Linked DNA regions of Diceros bicornis minor. The protein of the gene in region 1 interacts with the protein of each later gene in a biochemical or structural test. Links are inferred from orthologs where the notes say so. Each region holds a gene or a part of one and is shown in the gene's direction. Other genes may lie near its edges.

Region 1 (10,086 bases):
AACGGAGAGCCAGACACTCAGTCCTGCCTCTGGAGGTGGCCCTCAGCTGTAACAGGACAATGCCTAACCCATATGATGGTTAAGGAAAATCAACGTATCAGGCAGGGGCAAGTGGGGCTTCTGGGTGCCGCTCATGGGGCTGTTTGTGGCTATGGGTGTTAGATGCATGGGTGCTCCTTGTATGACTGTTTTTTAAACTCTTGAGTCTGTTCTATGCATTCTCAGTACTTCTGTTATTACTAAGCTGACAGCATAAGTTACATCCAAATTAAAGTACTTTTAGGAGTGCAAGGGGGCACGATGAATAACTCTGCTGAGATGACAATCGTGAGCAGAGCGCCCTGAGCTATCCCCACATCAGGTACCCGGCACAAGGAGCAGCACAGTCATGTCTGGTTAAGTTTTACGGCGCCTTCTGCAGATATCATTGCTGACATCCATCATCTCACTAACTGTGGCCCCCCAAAATAAAAAAGATACTCCAAACATGTTAGTTACATAAGCAAATAAGGGACCTCTTGAGCCACTCAGATCCACAGCCTGCACACCCTGTGCGAGCCATCAAAGGTCAGGACAGGCACCTTAGGGGCCCGAGAGCCCTCACTCAGAGAGGCCTGTCAATCCCGGTACCTGGGCAAGTGCTCAGTGATCTGCTCCCCACCACTGCCCCCCTCCTGCAGGTCCTTCCCCAGCCTCTGGCTCCTCACCTCTGGGATCTCCAGGGGCACTCGGCGCACCTGCATGCCCTGCAGAACCACAGGCCTCGGCTGCAGCAGGTTGAGGCCACCCGCCGCCTCAGGGACATCAGCCGAGTGGAAGCTGGAGGAATGCGAGTGGCGGTCCCTGTGGGAACGACAGCCATGAGGGTGGGGACCACTGGTGTGCCCTGGAATGGGGTGGGGTTGAGCCCGAGGCACGGCCATGACTGGGGGCTCCAGGGGACTCAGATACACCAGAAGCAGCACAGGGGGGTGCAGAATAGGCAGGCGGCAGAAGTGCCCTCCTCCCAGGTCCTGGGCTTCCTAGAGGGCCCTGGAAGCCTTCTGCTTGAAATATTGTGTCCTGACAGCATCAAGGGATCCCTACAGGCCCGCCCTTCACTGCTCCCCACCCTCCTCTACTCCTAGAGATTCTGAGCTGCCCCTGCCCCAGCCCAGCGAAGGAAAGAGACAATCCTCAGAAATGGCAGTCCACCAGGCTGCTGGCCTGGGAGAGCCTCTTTTGGGAGACTCACCAGGCTCCATTGGCTGCCTGTTCCCCCTGCTGCCCTACAGGGTTCTCGTAGCCGCCTCCAGCCAGGCCAAAGGTGTAGGAACGCCGCACGCCTTGGGCAGGGGTGTGGGACACAAGACAGCACATGAGCAACAGGAGCACCAGGGCCCAACCCAAGGCCATCGAATGAGGAAAAACCCTGTGCTGTGTCCCCCTGAATGGCAGCCCAGCCCCTGGGGACCAAGAGCTGGAGAGGAGTGGGTCCGTAGGTTAAGGGCCGGGCCCTGCACTCTGCCCATCCTGGGTTTGGATCCCCATTCTACCACTCGCTCAGCCTGTGCCTCAGTTTCCTCAACAGCAGAGCAGCAATGATGAGGCTACTCACACCTCACCACGGGGCTGAAGTATGCACTCAACAGAGCGAGCACTGCCGCTGAGATGACAAAGACCCTCAGCGGAAGAGAAAGGGGGCGCTGGGCCAGCCAGGGTCAGAGGCTTGGCAGGGGCTCACCACTCTCATCGTAGAAGTAGTGCACGGCGCCCTCAGAGGTGTCATCAAAGGTGCAGGCCTCGTGGACGTTGGCGCCGGCCCGGGTGAGCAGCAGCGAGGAGGCGAAGTGCAGGGCAGAAGGCAGCGTCAGCGCGCGGGAGTGGGAGGCAGCCCGGCCGCGCTGAGCCTCCTGCAGGCTGCTGGGGAGGGGTCAGCCTATGGGTCAGCACTGCTAAGAGCCAGCCGGCCCCCACCGTGCCTCTCTAGCCAGCAGGTGCTCACCTGGGTGGCGAGCCCATGACGGAGGCTGGAGGGGTGGGGTTGCTGCCTGCATTGTGGCGCCTCCGGATGGCCTGGGTCCGCCTCACACCGCTCAAGCACTCCCGTTTGCCAGTCTCCTCAGCCGCTGCCCAGAGAGACCCCCAATCATGAGTGACAGAGGCTTAAATACACCCTGAGAGCGGGGAGCAAATGCTCCTACATGGAGCCAAAGGCCAGGCCTGCCCATAGTCCAACTGTGCCCTGCCTCTAGGGTCCAGCCGGGTCACCTAACTACTTGTGCCTCAGTTTCCACATTTGGAAATGAGGACGTGACCTCCCCCACCCCAGTGGTGGCCCAGAAAAATGAATGTGGATGCAGGTAGTCCTCAAAGGGCAGAGACTTCGCACTAACTGCAGGACCTGGAGCCAGGTGTCTGAGGTCTTTCTGCCTCGGTCTCCCCATCGTTGGAGCCCTGCTTATCTGAGAGGTTTGGCAGATGCCACTCAATCGCTGCATCTACAACTGTCTGTTCTCCGACACAGAGGCTGAGCTGACGGTGACCAGATGCACTCCAGCCTGTCCCTCACCCAAACCCAAGCCCCTATCTGGCTCGCCTCCTCACCCCAGCCCTGGAGCTGGCACTCACCTCCCCCCACAGCACCTTCCTCCTGCAGCTCCCCCCGCCAGCCGGGCTGGTTGGCAGCAGGTCCCCTCCGGGCCTCAGCGGGCAGCAGAGCAGGCTCACCAGCAGCCAGCTCCACCCCTGCCTGGGCCTCCAGCTCAGCCTTGGAGCCAGCCAGGGGGGCCCTCAGAACATCACCCGCTGCCCCATCCATGCTCAGCACACGGGCATGCGTTTTGGCGCTGGCAGTACTAGGCGTCCGCTGGGTCCCATAGGGCCGCTTTGGGGGCACAGCAGTCCCCTCCTCAGCCCCGTGGGGGGCCCGTCGCTTCCGGGCTCCCCCTGCTGCACCCCGGGAGCTCTCGGGGGAGTAGCAGGAAGTAGAAGAGGAGCTGTCAGTACTATAGCGGCGCTGAGATCGGAGACTGGAGGCCGGGCTCAGTTCACTGCCCTCGCTGGTGTCTTCATCCTCAAAGAAACCCCCACCTTCAAGCAGGGGCCGCCGAGGGGCACGGCCAGGTGGGGAGTGTCTTCGCATGGGCGGCCGCCGTTTGCCAGGCCGCAGCAGGGCCAAGTCCTTGGGCCGCACGACCAGGAGTGGCTCAGCCAGGCCCGGAGGTGTCCCTGCTCCTATGACTGTGTCAAAGGAACGCAGCGTGTCATCTGAGGGGACTCCAGCATCTGGTGAGGCGGGCAGCTCAGCCTCAGAAGGTGGGTCTGTGTCACTGCCCTCAGGCGCCTGCCCACCGGGGGGGCTGTCCAGGTGGGTCGAGTTGGTCTTCTCACTCTTGAAGCTGCTCAGCGTCTCCCTGTCAGTGCCACTGAAGCAGGAATCTGAGGAGCCAGCTTTCTGGGGCATGGGCTCCCCCGAGCCCCGCCGGTCCAGGGGCTGGTAGCCGCCTGCTCCCCGGCGTTGTTCCCGTCGACTGCTGGTCCTCACCAGGGCCCGGTCAGGCCGGGTCAGGGTCAGAAAGCTCTTGCTCAGCTCCTGGCTGAGGCTCCCCTTCAGCAGGGGGCTCATGGGAGTGTCAGCCACACTGCTCCCACTCCAGGGGGCTCCATCTCCAGCCAGGGGAGAACGTTCTGAAGAGTCCGTGCTGGGGAGAGAGGGGTCTGGGGCAGCTCCCGGGGGCGTCTGGGGAAGGTCTCCAACTATCAAAAAGAAAAAAGACAGCAAATGACAAAAAGGCATGCTACAAAAGGAACGGGTGGCTAAGCGGTTCCCACGGCCTCTCCTTTCCAAGAGCCCAGGTGGGACAGGACACTGAGGCGGCCCCATCCAGGAGGACACAGAGAGGCCCCAGGGAGCAAAACCTGGGGTGACAGAGACAAGATGGCTAGTCTTCCCCCAAAGCCCCTGCCATATCGCACTCACTCAGTTTCTCCTGTGAACTTAACTTCAGCATCTCTCGGTCGGCTGAAGTCACGATCACATTGTTGCTGCCCTGCTCCCGCACCAGCTCCTTGATGTCTGCAACCACGGCCCCAGAGCCGTCAGCAGGACCTCGAGGCATCCGCACGCCATCCCCTCTTCCATACCACCACCACCTTGAGCTCTGAGCAGCAACCACCTACCTCTGAGGAGTCCAGAGTCCTCCATTCGGGGCAGCAACTCCTGAGCAGGCAGAGAGAGCCGTGAAGGAGCAAACAGGGCAAAGAGTAGGCTCAGGACACACCCACAGTGGGGACGAGCTCCCAAGAGTGCGAGAGGCTGAGGGCTGGGACCACTCACCGAAACCTGGTTGAAGCCAAACACAGAATGCTGGGAGCTACAGCGCACTGGGGGTGTGGAACTCACTTTCCGAAACACTGTCATCTCCACTCCAGGGTCCCTAGCAGTGGAGAAAAGCATGAACTTTGAGCTAACCTCCCCTCTTTATACGGTACTTCCTCCCCCATCCCCATCATTCCTCCCTTCTCAATGGTGCCCTTAAAAGTCCCCTTACACACGTAGTGCTCGATAGCTCAAAGAGCCAAGGTTCCCTAAGCCCCTCCTCCATCCTCCAATGCTCAGGCCCAGACACCAAGACCCCTCAATTCCCAAACAGCCACTGCCCCACCCACCTGGGCAGACTGCTGTCCCCCTGGGCGGGCTCTTCCTCCGGCTCTCCCATGGTAGAGTTGCGCTTCTCCACAATTTCGCCCTGGTCGAACATAGCGTGCAGCCGATAGTTCACAGTCTTGATGGTAGCAAAGATGACAGCCACCACAAGGCAGTACACGCCGGCCACCATCAAACTGGGGGGCAGGACCTGGAGGTGACAGCAAGTCAGGTCCTTCCTCACACAGCCCTACCCCCATGGGCTGGACCTACCACCAGTTATGGCTAGGATTCACAAATTCACAAGAAAATTTCATCATCCCTCCTTGGCACCAGTACAAAAATCCTGTTACGGATCTCTATCTTCCGACTGGAGAGAGAGATTAAGTGAGGGGCTCAAGGTCACCCAGCCCAAGAAGGGATGCATTTGGCCTCTCCTCCACACACTCCAAACTCTGCAGATTCCTCTCTCCACACGCCAGCGCCCAAAGCACAGCCCCAAATCCGTACCAGGTAGTCAACCCGCTGTGACATCTGCCCTCCCTTTCCCAGGCGGGATTTACAGGTGGCGGCAGCATCTCACCATGTACAGCAAGAAGGGAAAGGTGAGCAGGAAGATCCAGACATAGAGATGGAAGCAGTTGGAGAAGGTGCTCTGGTGCGGGTCGAAAAACCAACCGCCGGTGAGAGAGGCCCACACCCCCTGGCGCAGGATCTGCAATACCTGCGACCCCATGGCCCCGCCGCTGCTGCGCGCGCCCCCCTCCCGGGACCCTCATGGGGGCGGCCCCCGGCCCATGCCCCGCCTGGCGCCCGAGGGCCCCGGGGCCCGGCCTCGCGCTCACGCCATGGCCTCCCCCAGCGGGGGAGAGGGGTCGCCCGGGGAAGGTGCGGGCAGGGGGCGGGGCTAGCCGAGACGGTCAACCGTGCGAGGCTCGGCTGCGGGGGTGGAGCCGCATCAGGGGCGGGGTCTGGGCCCCCACCGCCGGCCCAGAACTGCTCCGAGGGGCCGAGCCGGCAGGCAGGCGCGGGGCACGGGCCGGGCACCAGTCGGCGGCATCCAGAGGTGGGCGTGGGGCGGGTGCTCCTGGGGTGCAGGCGACGGCTCCGGCCCCAGGAGAGCCCGGAGACCCTGAGGTCCACTTCCGGGGTCACAGGTCACTTGCTTCGGGCTCCGCGTTCGCCCCGCTTCTGCGGGAGCCGGCCCGAGGGGGAGGCCGGAAGGAGCCGCGAGCCGCCAGCCTGCAATGGCGCATGCGCACGACGGGCCCAGTTGGGACCCGGAAAAGGAAAACCGGACGGCATGAATGCGCAAGCGCAGGGAGGTGGTGGAGCCATAAAAAACGGCGGAGCCGGGTGTGCGTGCGCAAAGTCTAGGTCTGAGGGGAAAGACGATGCAAAGGTGGAAGGCCTTGGGCGCATGCGCACACCTAAGCCGAGCCAACCTAGCAGAGACCACTGGGCGAAACCGAAGGGATAGTTGGGTGGCCATTGGTTAACGGCGGCGTTAGTTGGCGTAAAGCTCTCCTGGTGATTTACAGGAGGCGGGGAAAAGGATGGAGGCGTGGACTCCCCAGGGTACGGCGAGAGTTCTGCGCTCTGGAAGCACACCCCTCTTGTGCTGGACCTCAAACGTCATGAGCGTCTCTCGGCCCGAGGGGCCTCTACTTCCGGGTCAGAACTCCGACCTAGAGTGGGGCGGGCGGGGGGGAGAGACCCTCCAGAACAGGCAGGAATAGTCGAAATAGGATAGCGTCGTTTTTCTTAAAGTGACAGGCTCAAGGCGCTTGGGGCTAAACCAGCGGTTGTGAGGGCGACTTAGCTATTCTGAATCCAATCACTGGGCAGATTTCGGGACAACAGTCTCAGGTTTCTGCCCACTGGGGAAGGGTCATGAAGAAGTGGATTGTTTCCCAAGTGAGGAGAGCCTTAGACAACCCCTTCCAAGAGCTTGAGGTGCAGCCAGTTTCTTCCTCCTCGCATCTGCCCTTCCCCCATCCCACTAGCTGTGCAAAGCGGAGCTTCTGGTCCGTATTTCAGATATGAAGAGCATGAGGCGCAGAGAGGATGGGGCACACAGTCCTGCAACTTCGTAGCCAAGAGCAGACTCAAGTTTGCCCCACTCCCAAACCAGGTTCTTGACCCCATTTTGCTGATGCGGATGTAGAGGGCGGGGATGGCCCGTCCTTAGCAGAGACCAACCTTGACCCTAAACCTGCCGTGATGGGGCGTCGGGCCTACCCTTCCCCTCGTTCTGCCCCTCTACGCCTGCCTACCCGGGAACTCCCCGGCCCAGCTGCCTGCAGCCTCTGGGAGGGGAGCGGTGCGACCCGCCCGCGTCATCTGATGCTGTTTCCTGCAGGAGGGAGAAGAGCGGAAAAAAGTGAAACTCCACCCTCCACCTCTGCCTCCCGCCCCCGGGGCCAAAGTACAAAGGGAGGAGGAAGAAGGGAACTGGGTTGGAGCCGTTGGGCTGCGGGAGCCGGCCGGGAAGAGGCAGCTCGGCCCAACTAGGAACACTCCAGCCACCTCCTGCGCAAAAAGACCCAAGCGGAGTCCAGGCGCTGCCCCTCGCTGGCTGCAGCTTACATTTGGTGGGTGCAGGAGACAGGCTCCCAGGACTGCTCCAGAACTGAGGGACGCCCGGGTCCCTCCGAGCCGGCCATGGTGAGACGCCGGAGGCCCCCGGGTCCTACCCCGGGAGCCTGACTACACTGCCCTGGGTCGCTCTCCCCTAGAAGCGCGAGATGCGGGGGGCCAGGAAGCGACACTCCTGGTTCCCCAGAGAGGCGTGGGTCTGGGGCTGAGGGCCAGGGCCCGGATGCCCAGGTTCCGGGACTAGGGCCTTGGCAGCCAGCAGGGGTGGGGACCAGGGACACCCAGGGAAGGTCCCCCACACGCCCCAACGCCGGCTCCCAGCCATGGAGCCCTTGAAGAACCTCTTCCTCAAGAGCCCGCTGGGGTCATGGAACAGCAGTGGCAGTGGGGGTGGTGGGGGTGGCGGTGGAGGCTGGCCGGAGGGGTCCCCAAAGGCAGCGGCTTATGCCAACCCTGTGTGGACAGCCCTGTTCGACTATGAGCCCAGTGGGCAGGACGAGCTGGCCCTGCGGAAAGGCGACCGTGTGGAGGTGCTATCCCGGGATGCAGCTATCTCAGGCGATGAGGGCTGGTGGGCGGGCCAGGTGGGCGGCCAGGTGGGCATCTTTCCATCCAACTATGTGTCTCGGGGCGGCGGCCCGCCCCCCTGCGAGGTGGCCAGCTTCCAGGAGCTGCGCCTGGAGGAGGTGATCGGCATCGGTGGCTTCGGCAAGGTCTACCGCGGCAGCTGGCGAGGTGAGCTGGTGGCTGTGAAGGCAGCTCGTCAGGACCCCGATGAGGACATCAGTGTGACAGCTGAGAGTGTGCGCCAGGAGGCCCGGCTTTTCGCCATGCTGGCACACCCCAACATCATCGCCCTCAAGGCCGTGTGCTTGGAGGAGCCCAACCTGTGCCTGGTGATGGAGTACGCGGCCGGTGGGCCCCTCAGCCGTGCCCTGGCAGGGCGGCGTGTGCCCCCCCACGTGCTGGTCAACTGGGCCGTGCAAATTGCCCGTGGGATGCACTACCTGCACTGCGAGGCCCTGGTGCCTGTCATCCACCGAGACCTCAAGTCCAACAACAGTGAGTTTTGGGGAGTGTGGTTGGAGGGTGGTATGGCCCAGGCACACACCTACTGCCAACTCAGCTGAGCCCACCTGAGCTGAGCTCTTGCCTTTGTGAGGGTCCTTTGTGCCCCAGCCCCAGGAGGAGTCCTTGACCTCAGCTTACAGCTGCCAAGTTAGAAAGTTGGGATCTCTCAGAGGGGCCATAAGCATCCTGCCTTGCCATGGCCACCACCTCAAGGAAGTAGAACGCTGGGTGCTGGCATTCTTCATCTCCCCTCCCCTGCCGTTCACACTTGTGCTGTTGGTGCCCTGCTCTCCCCTCCACCTGTGGTGGGCAGCTTCTCTGGAACAGACGTCTCAGAGGGGACAGCCCCCCGTGGTGGTCAAAGCTGGGGCCAGGGCTAGAATTCTGGCCCCACCCCTCCCCTGGGTGCATGACCTCTAGCTGGTTATTTCAACTGAGAGCCTCAATTTCAGACTGTGAAAAGGGAGTGACTGGGAGGGTGAAGTGGCTTAATGGACTAGGCAAGCCCTGGCATCCGATGCCTGGCACGCAGTGGGTCTTCAGCTATGGGTGTGGACATCTGAGGGCTGGATCACCAAAAGGGCCTCACCTGGCATCAGCACTTGGGGTGGGCGTGGCGGGGCTGAAGGAGACTGGAGCAGCCAGGCACTCCATCTCCCGCCATTTCAGGCCGTGCAGCTGCCCAGCATGGGCCCGAGACAAGCGAGGGACAGGTTCAGAGGGCTTCCTGTAGCAGGCAAGCTTCGTACCAGGCCAAAAGCAGGCAGTGTTCAGAGAGGCCCCCAGTTGTTGGCAGGGCCTGACAAGGGCGAAGGCGAGGAGGCAGGCCCCAGCACAGCAGTGGGGACACGGGCTGGGCCTGCTGGGGCCCAGGGTGCAGGCGATAGAGCAAAAGTAAGTGCAAGAGGGGCCAGTGGGGTTATAGGAGAGGCATGGGTGGCTCTTGGAGGGGTGAGCATGGATATTTTGAGCCTCCTAGCCTGGGCTATCTGTGGACAAGGGGCTGGGGGGAGCAGAACACCAGGACCCAATGCCATCCACATCAATGTTAGGGCTGGAGGGGCCGAGGGAGGCCTGCCAGCCACCCACTCACTCCTCTCACCCACAGTAAGGGACAGTTTCCAGCCTCAGCCTCACTCCTGGGCCCTAGCCGTCTAGGGACCCCCACTCCCTGCCCCAGCCTGAGGGGGATTCCCCGAAGGCCCAGGGGGGAGGGGACTCCGTCTTCTGTTTTTCCTCTAGTTTTCTTTCCAGAGAAAATGGAACAATAGCCCAGGGCCCTGCTCCCCACCCTCCCCACTGCTTCCTGCGTTTCCTGCTGCCCCTGAGCCGGCTTCCTGCCCCTGCTCCAGCCTCTGCTCCCTCCCCAGCCCAGCTGCCTGCAGGGGAGGAAAGAGCTGGGGGTGGGGGGTTTGTAGGAGAGGAAGGAGCCAGGGATTGCACCCCCACTCCCCCCAGTTCCCCTGCTTCCCTCCCAGAGTCTGGCTGGTGGTGAAGGGCAGGCAAGGTGCCCTCAGCCCCCCTAAGCCTGGCCTCCCACCTCGCAGACCCCAGTCCTAGGCCCCGGGTGCCGTCTGCGGGATTGGTGGGGGGAGTCCCTGGGCTGGGGGGGCGCAGGCAGGAAACAATGGCGTGATTTTCCTGGACAATGGGGGCCTTGTGAGGAAGCCTGGTGGGGAGAGGAGGGGGAATTCTCCAGGCCCACGAGTCACAGGACTGACCAGCCAGCCCGGCCTGGGCCTGACCTCCCTCAATTCTCCCCCCAAAGGCCCCCCCCCCAGTTGGAGACC
Region 2 (9,838 bases), about 17 Mb from region 1:
ACTGCAGACTTTTAGTGGAGCCCTGCATGTCTGTACCCCCTTAGACACACTAGACCTGTTTCAGCAGGCGACCCAGGACTATGACAGGCTCACTCTGTCCTCTGTTATCAGGCGTGAGGCCATTTCTTCCCTCTGCCCCAGATTCAGTATGTTATAAATCTTTAAAGTGACTCATCCTGTGTCTCCTCTCTCCCCCCTCAATCCTCCAGCACGGTGCCAGAGTTCTTTTATCTATAAGTGGAAATTTGCTCACCTGCTGATTCTCTACTCAGTCACTGCCTTCTTCTTCAAAATTACTGGTCCCGGCTGGCTTCTGTTCCAGCCGTTTTTTTTCTCATTCTCCATCTCCGGCAGCAGCCGCTGGGCCTTGGTTCGGAAACTGCCCTTGTCATATCTGAGCGAGTGTCACCCAAGGCCTCAAGTGAGTCTCCCATGGCCTGCCCCTCCTCCTCTGCTGCCCCCGGCCCTGCGGCAGGGGAGGCCTAGAGGGTCTGCGGGGGAGAGCTTGTCCTGCGGCAGCACCTCAGAGGGGCAGTGTGCAGGCACCCGGTGGCGTCCTGGCAACCAGCCTGTCCCCGGGTACTGTGGCCCGTGCACAGTACTGGCTCTTCCCAGTTCCCAGTCTGAGTGTCCCCAGAGAAGCAGCCAGAGGAGCTTGTGTCCCTGGGCACCTGAGTAGCCTCCTGAACGTTCCTTGTTGTACTCGCTTGTCTCTTTCAGCAGCAGCGCCGTGGCTCCACGAGCAAAGCCTGGGTGCCCGAGCAGCCGCCGTGGCAGCAGAGTGCAACCTGCAGAAAAGCTGATCGCCATCACGACAGAGATGGAGCGAACCTGTGTGCGTGTGTGCGCGTGTGCAGAGGAGGGAGTGCTGTGCCTGTTTGCGTGTGCATGCATCCGTTTACACTCTTGTGACTCTGAACGCTGCCCGGGCCGGAGGAGTCCCTGTAGCAGCTTCACCTCAGCCTCCAGACACCAGGCTAGAGGTCATGGCAGTGACTTTCAGCCCAGACCTGTCGCTGCCAGCCAGCTGCCCTGTCTGAATAGAAGAGCGGTAGGACTCTAGCTGGGATTCTGGCATCTGCCCCCCAGCACTCGCTCCCTCTTCACATCGGACTGGGGAGCAGGAGGACAACATTTCTGGCTCTTGTCCAGAGTGTGGGATTCTAGAGGCAGCCGGAGTCGTGCTGAGTTCCTGCTTCTGACCCTGGAGGCTGGAGTGGACTGATGCTGTTCAGACATAGCCACCTGGCCTGGCTTCTTTCTTATTTTAAAATTCCCCGCCACTGGGTCCTCCAGACCCTTCCTCGGGCATCTGGGACTGAGCACGAGGCTGTAGACAGATCTGAAACTTTCCACCATCATACAGAAGTACACCAGACACCTGACCGGTGTGCCGTATGCACGGTACTATAGATGGTAGCCCAAGAAATACATCTACCATTTTGGGGCTGAAAACCTGAGTTTGGAAATAGAATCCCAGCTCTCACTGTTCCTTCCCCAGAAGCTGAGGGCTAGCCTCTGAGCTGACTGTGGGGACTCGGTGCGTCCTCCAGGAGGAGGCCAGGTTCCTGGTGGTAGAAAGACCCCTGGCTCCTCTGGCCACACTCCAGGGCACCGTAGTGCTGCCGTTGAGGTCAGCTGACTCCCAGCCAGGGAAGCCATTCTAGTCTGTTCTGTAGGCTTCCAGGGCCTGCCTGGAACTGGTCAGCATCCAAGCTGCCACATCAGCTCTCCCAGTAGCTGGACACCAAGTCCCCAGGCAGGTGGATGCGGGTGGGGACTGCCAGGGACAGTTGGGAAAGGTCCAAGTAGAGATCCCACCCAGCGCGCCAACCCTTCCAGAAGCAGCAGGTGGGAGGTTTCACCCAGAGAAGCCAAGGCTTTGCATTCCAGGAGTGGCCTGTGCCTCCCGCCTCAGCCCTTCCACTGTTGGAGGCCTGTGTTGAGAAAGGTGTAATGAAGAGAGGACTGTGGGGTCAGCTGCAGCAAGTCTTCCTTCCATGTTATGGCCTGCACTTGAGCCACAAGTGTGTGTGTGTGTGTGCGCATGCGTGTGTGTGTGCGCGTGTGTGTGTGTGTGTGTGTGTGTGTGTGTGTGTGTGTGTGTGTACGTACAGGTGCGCACCTAGCCGAGAGGCTAATTCCTCTTTGGATTTTGTCCTCACGTGTAACATTAAGCTGGCCTCTGGGCCTTCTCTTCTCTACCTCCCCTGTGGCCTTTCCTAGCCTCACAGCTGTTAACTGCCTGGGCCCCAGCCCTGTCCCTCACTGTCCTCTGTCCTCGGACCAGAACCTGGGGTCAGGCCCCTGTCTCCTGCATCTGTCCAGCACACTGACAGGCTTCTTCCTGAGATGTCCTCAGGTTTTCTCAGCCAGAGAGCTGCCTTTAGAGTCCAACTGTTGTATGTATGTCACCCTCACTAGGAACGTCCCGTGATCGTGTCGGGGGAGCAGGGCACGGGTGATGATGTGTATTTGCAGCCTTGGGTTGGGGGCTGCCCTGTTCCCTTAGCCCCAGGCAGGAGGAAAGAGAATCGGGGGCTGTTGCCAGAAGAGTAGAGCGAGCCTGGAAGGCCTGGTTTGAGAAACAGAAGGGCAGAGAGCTTAGGGCCAGAGTCAGTATTTATTAACAGTACCTTCAAATATCAGGATGATTCCCTTTTCCTGCCTATCCGATGATGGCTCTCTTCCCTAAGGTACAAGTTGGCAGGACCACCTCCCCCTACTTGTGCACCACCCCTGGCATGCTGGTCCATTCCCCGTGGAATGGAAAAATCTGCTCCCAGAGCTGGGAGGGGCCGTGTGAGGAGAGAGTACATCCAGTGGCCTGGACCTCCACAATGGCTTGGTGCCTCCCCTCTCCTGGCCCAGGTATCCCTAAGGGCTGCCACAAAGCATTGCCCCAGATCCCGACCCAAGGGCCAGCATGGGGAAGAGATGGTCGCAGGCAAAATGCACTTTATACAGAGATTTTCTATTGCTGGGAAGGTGTGTTTCTCCCACAGTTTGTTTGAATAGTCACTTGTTTCATAAATGTCTCACCCTGTCTGAGCAAAGCTGTGCTGTCGTCAGTCTTGTGGGAGGGCTGGGGACTGGGAGTCAGTAAGGCTGAGCCACAGTAAGCCTTAGGCTAGGACACCTGGGTTCTGCTGGACCCAGGAGCCTCTCACCCTTCCTTGGAGGTGGCGAGGAGGGGGAAGGGGGGAGATGAAATGGGAGGCTCCTACATGAGCAACTGCAGCAGACCAGAGGCAGCTCCAGAGCTTGGTCAGAGTGGGGGTCCATCAGCCAAAGTGGTACACAGCACCCTGGCCCAGGGTGGGGTTCCTGATGGCTGTCCTGTGCTGACCCGGCCTCTCCGCCCACTTAGACCCCCCAGGCTGGGGATCAGTGGCAGGGCTCTCCAGGCCCTCAATCCATCCTTGCCTCAGCTCAGCCAGGTAAGCTGCAGCTGTGTGTGTGTGAGTGGAGGGAGTACAAGCCCTCTGGCTCTGGTAGGTGGTCGAGACCTGCCCATAGCCAAGCCGAGGTCCTGGATGCTGGCTTTCTCTCATGCCATCTGGCCAGAGAGTGGCCCCTCTGCAGTGTGCATGGGCTTTCCTGTAGGGGTTTCTAGCCTTGGACCACTGGGAGTGAGAGCTTTGTTAGCCCACACCCCAGCTTCCTGTGGGAAGGGGCTCAGGTAAGACCCAAGAATATCACAGGCTGCCCTGCACAGAGTGAGAAAGGGAAGAGGAACTCGAGCCTGGGACTCATCTCCTTTTTCACCCTGCTTTGAAGCTTCTGCTGGCCCCCTTTCCACCAAGACCTGGGCCTAACCTTCCCTCTCCCTTCTCCTGGCTTCTCTCTAATGTGATTTTGGCTTGGCTGTGGGAGCTAAGACACCTTTGTTCTTGAGCAAAAGGTTCTGGAAGATAGAGTTGTCCTACACACACACTCCTGAGCTCCTGAGGATGCTCCCTAGTTGAGACAAGCACACATTCTAAGGAACAGTGATTAGCCACTGTGACAAAACTGCTTTCCTGGGAGGAAAAGCCAGGCACCATAGCAGCAGATGGCTACTGTTTGGGCCTAGTGAAGGGAGCCTGAGCCAAGACAGCAGGAAAGATAAAATGGCCACCCGTCTGGGCCCAGGGGCAGAAAGAAGAGAGGCGGCCAAGGCCTTTGGCTCTAGGTACTGGGCTGTTCTCAGGGCTGGAGCTGGGGGGCTGTTTACTGCAGGACAGGTGCCTGCAGCTGCTCCCTGGGTGCTACATTGAAAGAAAAGGGGGCTGGCGTGACCAGTTGGCAGTTGAGATTTGCAAATAGGATTCTACAAGCTGTGAAACTGTTTACTCTGCCCCTTCTTCAGAGAGAGAGGTGAAGGACAGGGCCTCTGCGGTTCTGTCAGGTGGCCAGAGAAGCCAGTGAGGTTTGGCCAGAGACTCTAGGAGCCACCAAAGCTGGGGCCCTGGCCTTGGCCAACAGCCTGAATGTCTAGCAGTCCACACTCTGAAAAACTCACAAGCTGAACCCTCTGAGGGGAGAGAAGATCAAGAGGAAACCATGGCCCACACCTAGCACGGGCAGAGGTGCTGGAGGAAACAGAAAAACCACCAAAAGAATCCCAAGAAGTCTGGGGCCAGCCCTGTGGCTTAGCGGTTAAGTGCGCGCGCTCCGCTGCTGGTGGCCTGGGTTCGGATCCCGGGTGTGCACCCACGCACCGCTTCTCCGGCCATGCTGAGGTGGTGTGCCACATACAGCAACTAGAGGGATGTGCAGCTATGACATACAACTATCTACTGGGGCTTTGGGGAAAAAGAGGAAGAGGATTGGCAATAGATGTTAGCTCAGAGCCGGTCTTCCTCAGCAAAAAGAGGAGGATTAGCATGGATGTTAGCTCAGGGCTGATCTTCCTCACACACACACGCACACACAAAGAATCCCAAGAAGTCAACTGTGGGGGCAGGAGGAAAGGTCCCAAGTCTTAGAATGTAAGAAGCCAGCTATGGGGTGTCTGTGGGTGCAAAAGAGGGGTGCTTTTCAGGAAATGCAACTGAGGTGCTAAGTGAGAAGAAGGAGTAATCTGGGAAAGTCCCTACATGAGGGAGAAGCTGAGAGACAAGCCAAGAGGGGCTCAGTTCACCATTAGTAGCTGTTTGAGGCTGAAGGGGGGCTTGGCTCAGTCTTTAGAGAAGAGACCCTCTAGGGGAGAGTCCTTGGAAGGGTCCCATCGAGGTAAGGGGACAAGATGGAGTGAGACCTGGATCCCAGAGGGAAGTGGGGTGTCCCAGCCTCCGATGACAACACATTTTACGTTTCATTCTCACAACAAATGTGAGAGGGACCATTATTGTCCCCATTTCACGGATGAGAAAACCAACCTCAGGACTATTAAGTCATTAGTGCAAGGCCACACCACCTATGCACTTGGGGAGCCAGGCTGTGACTTCACACCACCTGACTCCAAACCTGTCTGCTCTAGGACCTGTCCTGACACACTCTCGGCTTCCTCCATGACCCTCCTTTCCTGTGTGCCACCTTTGTCTGCTGCGGGGGGCCAACTAGGGCCCTGGGGACCCGGATCCTGCCAGTAGTTACCTGATACCCAAGCTCTAGGCCCACCCTGAGGGGCCGAGGGGAGTGCTTTGCGGGAGGGGGAAACGAGGCAGAGGAGCAGTGTGGGACTGAGGGCGGGGCGGGGCCAAACCCGGGAGCCGCGACTTCAGCACCTCGGAGAGCGCCGGCGGGGCGGGGCCCGCGGGCCGGGGGCGGGCCGGGGGCGGGGCGCAGAGACGGCGGGGCCCCGGGGCGCGCGGAGGCGCTCGCGCCGGAGCCGAGAGCGGCGCGCGGTCGAGCCGCGCCCTGCCCTGCGCAGGTGCGCCTGCCGCGCCCGCCCCAGCCCGAGCCCCGCGGCGGCGGCGGCCTCTCGCCGCGACCCCGCCTCCTTCCCCGCCGCCGCCGCCGTCGCCGCCGCCTCCGCGCCGCGCTCCGCCCGGATGGCCAGGGCTGTGCCGGAGAATGGCGGAGCGAGAGAGCGGCGGCCTGGGCGGGGGGGCCGCGTCCCCGCCTGCCGCCTCCCCGTTCCTGGGGCTGCACATCGCGTCGCCGCCCAATTTCAGGTGAGAATCCCCGGCCGCCGCGCCGCGCCCCGCCCTTTGGCCCCGACTGATCTGCCCCGGCTCCCCTCCCCCCGGCCCCGACACCCACACCCCAGACCTCGGGAACCGGAGGGCGGCGTGGGGATGGGGTCTCTTCCCCGGACAGAGGCCCCAGAATCCCCCTCAGCCTCCAGTCCAGACTGATCGCCGCCGCGTATCCCTGGTGCAGCTCCCTCCGCCATTCCATGTGCTAGGCTAGAAGATTCTGAGGTGGAATTGGAGGAGGGGGCGCGGAGGCCGCCGTCTTTCCCACTTGGGGGCGGCGGCGGGGCCTGGTGGGGTCTGGAGTGAGATCTCCGAGGAGGCAGGTAGGCTGGGGCTTTGCCTGTGGCCAGTCCGAAGGCTTCTGAATAGAGATGGAAGCAGGCTGGGGTGCCCCGCGGGTCCCAGTTTCTTGGTGCTGGAAGAAGGGAGTCGTGGGCCCTTCCCCCAGCCCTGCCTGGCCAGAGGGGCCTAACTCCCAGGAGCCTCTGTGGATTTGGGCAAGCGCTGACCTGGTCAGGTGTGTGCAGGTGCGGAAGGCTCAGCCTCAACCCGGAGATCCTAGGCCCCCCTGTGGGAGGGGGAGTCTGGTTTGGATGGCCCCGGAGTAGCGAGGAACATGGGGGCCAGGTCCCTGCTGGGGTAAGTACCCAGGACCCTGATCTGAGCTCCCCCTTTACCCCCCTCCTTGAACCTTTCTGATATTAGGTCGTTGGGAAGTGGATTTCAGAGCAGTGGACAATGGATGTTGTGGGGGAAGGTCCTTCCCCCATAATCCTGGCCCCAGTTGGAGAGGAGGAAGAGGAGGGTGTAGCTGCTACAGTACCTAGGAGAAGGAGGCCTAGACGAACCGCATTGTCTCTCCATCTAATGAGCTGGCGCCTTCCCCTCTCCTGGGGCCCCCACCCCAGCCAGGCCCCAGCTGGGCCCTGGCGCCTACCCCTCTTCTGACCAGGGGGTTGCTGGCTCCCTGGCCCTCAGGTGGGCAGGGGCCCCTGGGGATCTCTAATGGCATCATCAGGACTAGAAATCTCCCCGAGGCTCTGAGCTGAGCCGGGAAGACCAGAAGGAGGGGACCAGATGGAGGAGGCCAAGCCTGAAGGCTGGAGGGCTGGGGTCTTTGTGGTTAGTGCCTCAGAGTACCAGGCTGACGTCTGAGACTGACTCCACCTGACATGATACACACTGCCTTCCTACCAGGAGGCCCCTCTGCAGTGGAAAAGCATGGAGCTCAGAGGGACCTGGGTTCAAATCCTGGCTCCACCACTTTCTAGTTGCATGACCTGGGTGATTTTGTCCTCTCTGAGTTCCATCTGTTAGGTAAGCTAATTAATATTGATTCCTTAATGTATATCAAGTCGGTGCTCCACCAGGGTCAGCCCCCGTGTTAGCCGGCATTTATATAGCTCATTACCATTCAAAGCGTTTTCCCAGAGCTGGCTCATTTAACTCTCACAACCACCCTGGGCTGGGTATCGGTCTGCCCATTTTATAGATGAGGAGACTGAGATTCAGAAAGCAGGGGACTTGCCTGAGGAACCCGAGGATGTCAGAGCCTGAGGCTGGACTGGAACCCAAGTCTGTGTGTGTTCAGTCCACTCTACCTCCAGGCCCTGCTTCTGGCCCAGAGGGCAGCTTTGCCCACCCTGCCCCCCCATCCCCACGTGACAGAGGACAGAGCACTCCATCCAGCCCTGCCCCTGGCTGTCAGGTCACCATGGACACGTCAGCAAGAGGAGCTGACGTGGCAGATGCCAGCCAGTGAGTGTATCTGGCCCTGGGCCTGGTGGGCGCAGGTGGCAGTACGCCAAGGCTGTGGTGTGGGCCGGCCCTCCAGGACACCGTGGCCTGGCCGTGGACAAGGCCAGCTTGTGGGAATAATCAGGGCCGTGTCTCCAGCCCCACGTGACCTACCCCGCCTGCCCTGGCAGCCCCCGCTGCCCTTTCCCTGGGCCCAACTTGGTTTAACCCAGGGTGGTTACTGCTCTCTCGTGGCTCTTTGGTGGGGTCGTGGATCTGACTCAGCTGGGTTTGAGTCCTGGCTCGGCCTTCTTAGCCATGTACCAAGACTGGGCACTTGACCTTCTGAGCCTATTTCTTCTCCGTGATGCCGGCTTTAGCACCTGCTCAGGGTAGTCCTAAGACTCGGATGAGAGGGCACATGTTGAGTGTTTCAAGGGCTGTGGAAAGCTGCATTCATACAGGGCTGTTTTTTTAATATTGTTGTTATTATTGTGTGGGTACCCTCAGCACCACTGTCAGCTTCCAAAAGGCATAAGAAGTCAACACCTAAACTTTGGTTTGCCCAATGGCTGGCACAGAGTAGGTGCTCGGTAATGCCTTAGCGGTTTCTTATTTAATGAGGGAGGAACCCGGATGCTGGTGTCCTGGAGTACAGAGAGTAGCAGGGCCTGCTCTCAGGGAAGAACAGTGGGAAGCACTGGCCCTCGGGACCGTCTCTTCCCCAGGCACCACTCTCGGTGCTTTCTGTGCAAGAGCATTTAGTCCTCACCAGAACCGTACAAACAGAGTGTTATTACTATCCCCACTCTACAGATGAAGAAACTGAGGCATAAAGAGGTTAGGGAAGTGGCAGAGCTGGGGTTGGAACGCAGGCAATCTGATTTCAGAGCCACGCTGAAAGGAGGGAGCCCTGGCACACTGGGGGAGACTTTGTGGAGGGGTGACCCAGGCGTGGAGCTGGAGGGGTGTCGAGCGTTCGTCTGTTGGTAGTTGGTTTGAATAAATATGTGTTTGTTTCTGATTATAGAAATGCGCCAACCAGTGACTAGTAGTTCCCTCCGAATATGGTATGAGGGGAGGGATTTTCACTTGTTTTACATACTTCTGTATTATTTGACTTCTTATTTCTATAACAAGCATAGGTTAATTCTGTAACTTACAAAATAATAAAAGAAAATTCCAAACTAAAGTGATACATGTTCATTATAAGGAAAACTCTAGAAAAGAGATTTAGAAACTTATGCAATGAATACATTGAGCTGGGACGGGGGACGACAGGGAGGGACAGTGGGACAGTCCATGGGGGAGGGACAAAGGATGCTCGCAGAAAGTAAAGCGAGCAGCCTGCCCTGGCTGTGTGGAAGAGGAGTTGGGGATGAGAGAGACCTTAGAAATCAGCTCATCCAAACTACTCCCCTCCCCTTTTACTTAGGAGAAGACAAGAGAGAGTGAGTGGCTTCCCTGAGAACACACAGCAAGTCAGTGGCAGAGCTGGGACAGAACCCGGGCCTCATAACTCCCTGGATGGAGTTCTCTGCACCCTACCACACCGCCTCAGGGATGAGAGATGAGGTCACTGAAGAGCGCAGGGACCTCCTTATTCATCTCTTCATGAGGTCGTACGCGCTTGGCTGTTCCTTTATTCACTCAACAAATATATGCACTTTGCCAGGCTCAACAGAGAGACACTCCAGAGGCACAGACATGGGCCTGGCCATGATGCAGGTGACAGTGTAGGAGGGAGACAGACAGACAAGGCCGTACAAGACAGGCTGGTAGGTGTGATGGTGACCCAGGTGAGGGGCCGGGGGAAGCCAGGCCCTGTGCCTCAGGAAGGGTTCATCTCAGCTTGAGAAGAAGTGAAGCAGCATGGTCTGGGGCAAGTGGAGGGCGGGCAGGCAGGAACCCGTAGGCCGTGTTGAGACACTGGCCTGTCCACGAACAAGCAGTGGGAACCAGCAAGGGTTTAGGAG

Evidence for each region. The genes of interacting proteins can lie anywhere in the genome.
Region 2: the proteins of MAP3K11 (region 1) and MAPK8IP1 form a complex in vitro, tested with the Homo sapiens proteins (2 studies listed by BioGRID). The link is inferred for Diceros bicornis minor from reciprocal best matches to the Homo sapiens genes MAP3K11 and MAPK8IP1.

The regions. Positions count from the first base shown.
Region 1 is NC_080770.1:7,592,282-7,602,367, forward strand, and holds the start of MAP3K11 (mitogen-activated protein kinase kinase kinase 11), read left to right. Parts: upstream 1-5,883; 5' UTR 5,884-6,205; exon of another isoform or gene 6,206-6,301; intron 6,302-6,361; exon of another isoform or gene 6,362-6,989; 5' UTR 6,990-7,548; coding exon 7,549-8,287; intron 8,288-10,086. Other genes in the region: PCNX3 (pecanex-like protein 3), read right to left, coding at 708-843, 1,235-1,325, 1,724-1,902, 1,985-2,108, 2,611-3,738, 3,962-4,057, 4,162-4,201, 4,319-4,418 and 2 more. UniProt on the Homo sapiens protein: Activates the JUN N-terminal pathway. Required for serum-stimulated cell proliferation and for mitogen and cytokine activation of MAPK14 (p38), MAPK3 (ERK) and MAPK8 (JNK1) through phosphorylation and activation of MAP2K4/MKK4 and MAP2K7/MKK7.
Region 2 is NC_080770.1:24,293,540-24,303,377, reverse strand, and holds the start of MAPK8IP1 (C-Jun-amino-terminal kinase-interacting protein 1), read left to right. Parts: upstream 1-5,942; 5' UTR 5,943-6,000; coding exon 6,001-6,101; intron 6,102-6,109; exon of another isoform or gene 6,110-6,448; intron 6,449-6,830; exon of another isoform or gene 6,831-9,054; intron 9,055-9,838. UniProt on the Homo sapiens protein: The JNK-interacting protein (JIP) group of scaffold proteins selectively mediates JNK signaling by aggregating specific components of the MAPK cascade to form a functional JNK signaling module. Required for JNK activation in response to excitotoxic stress.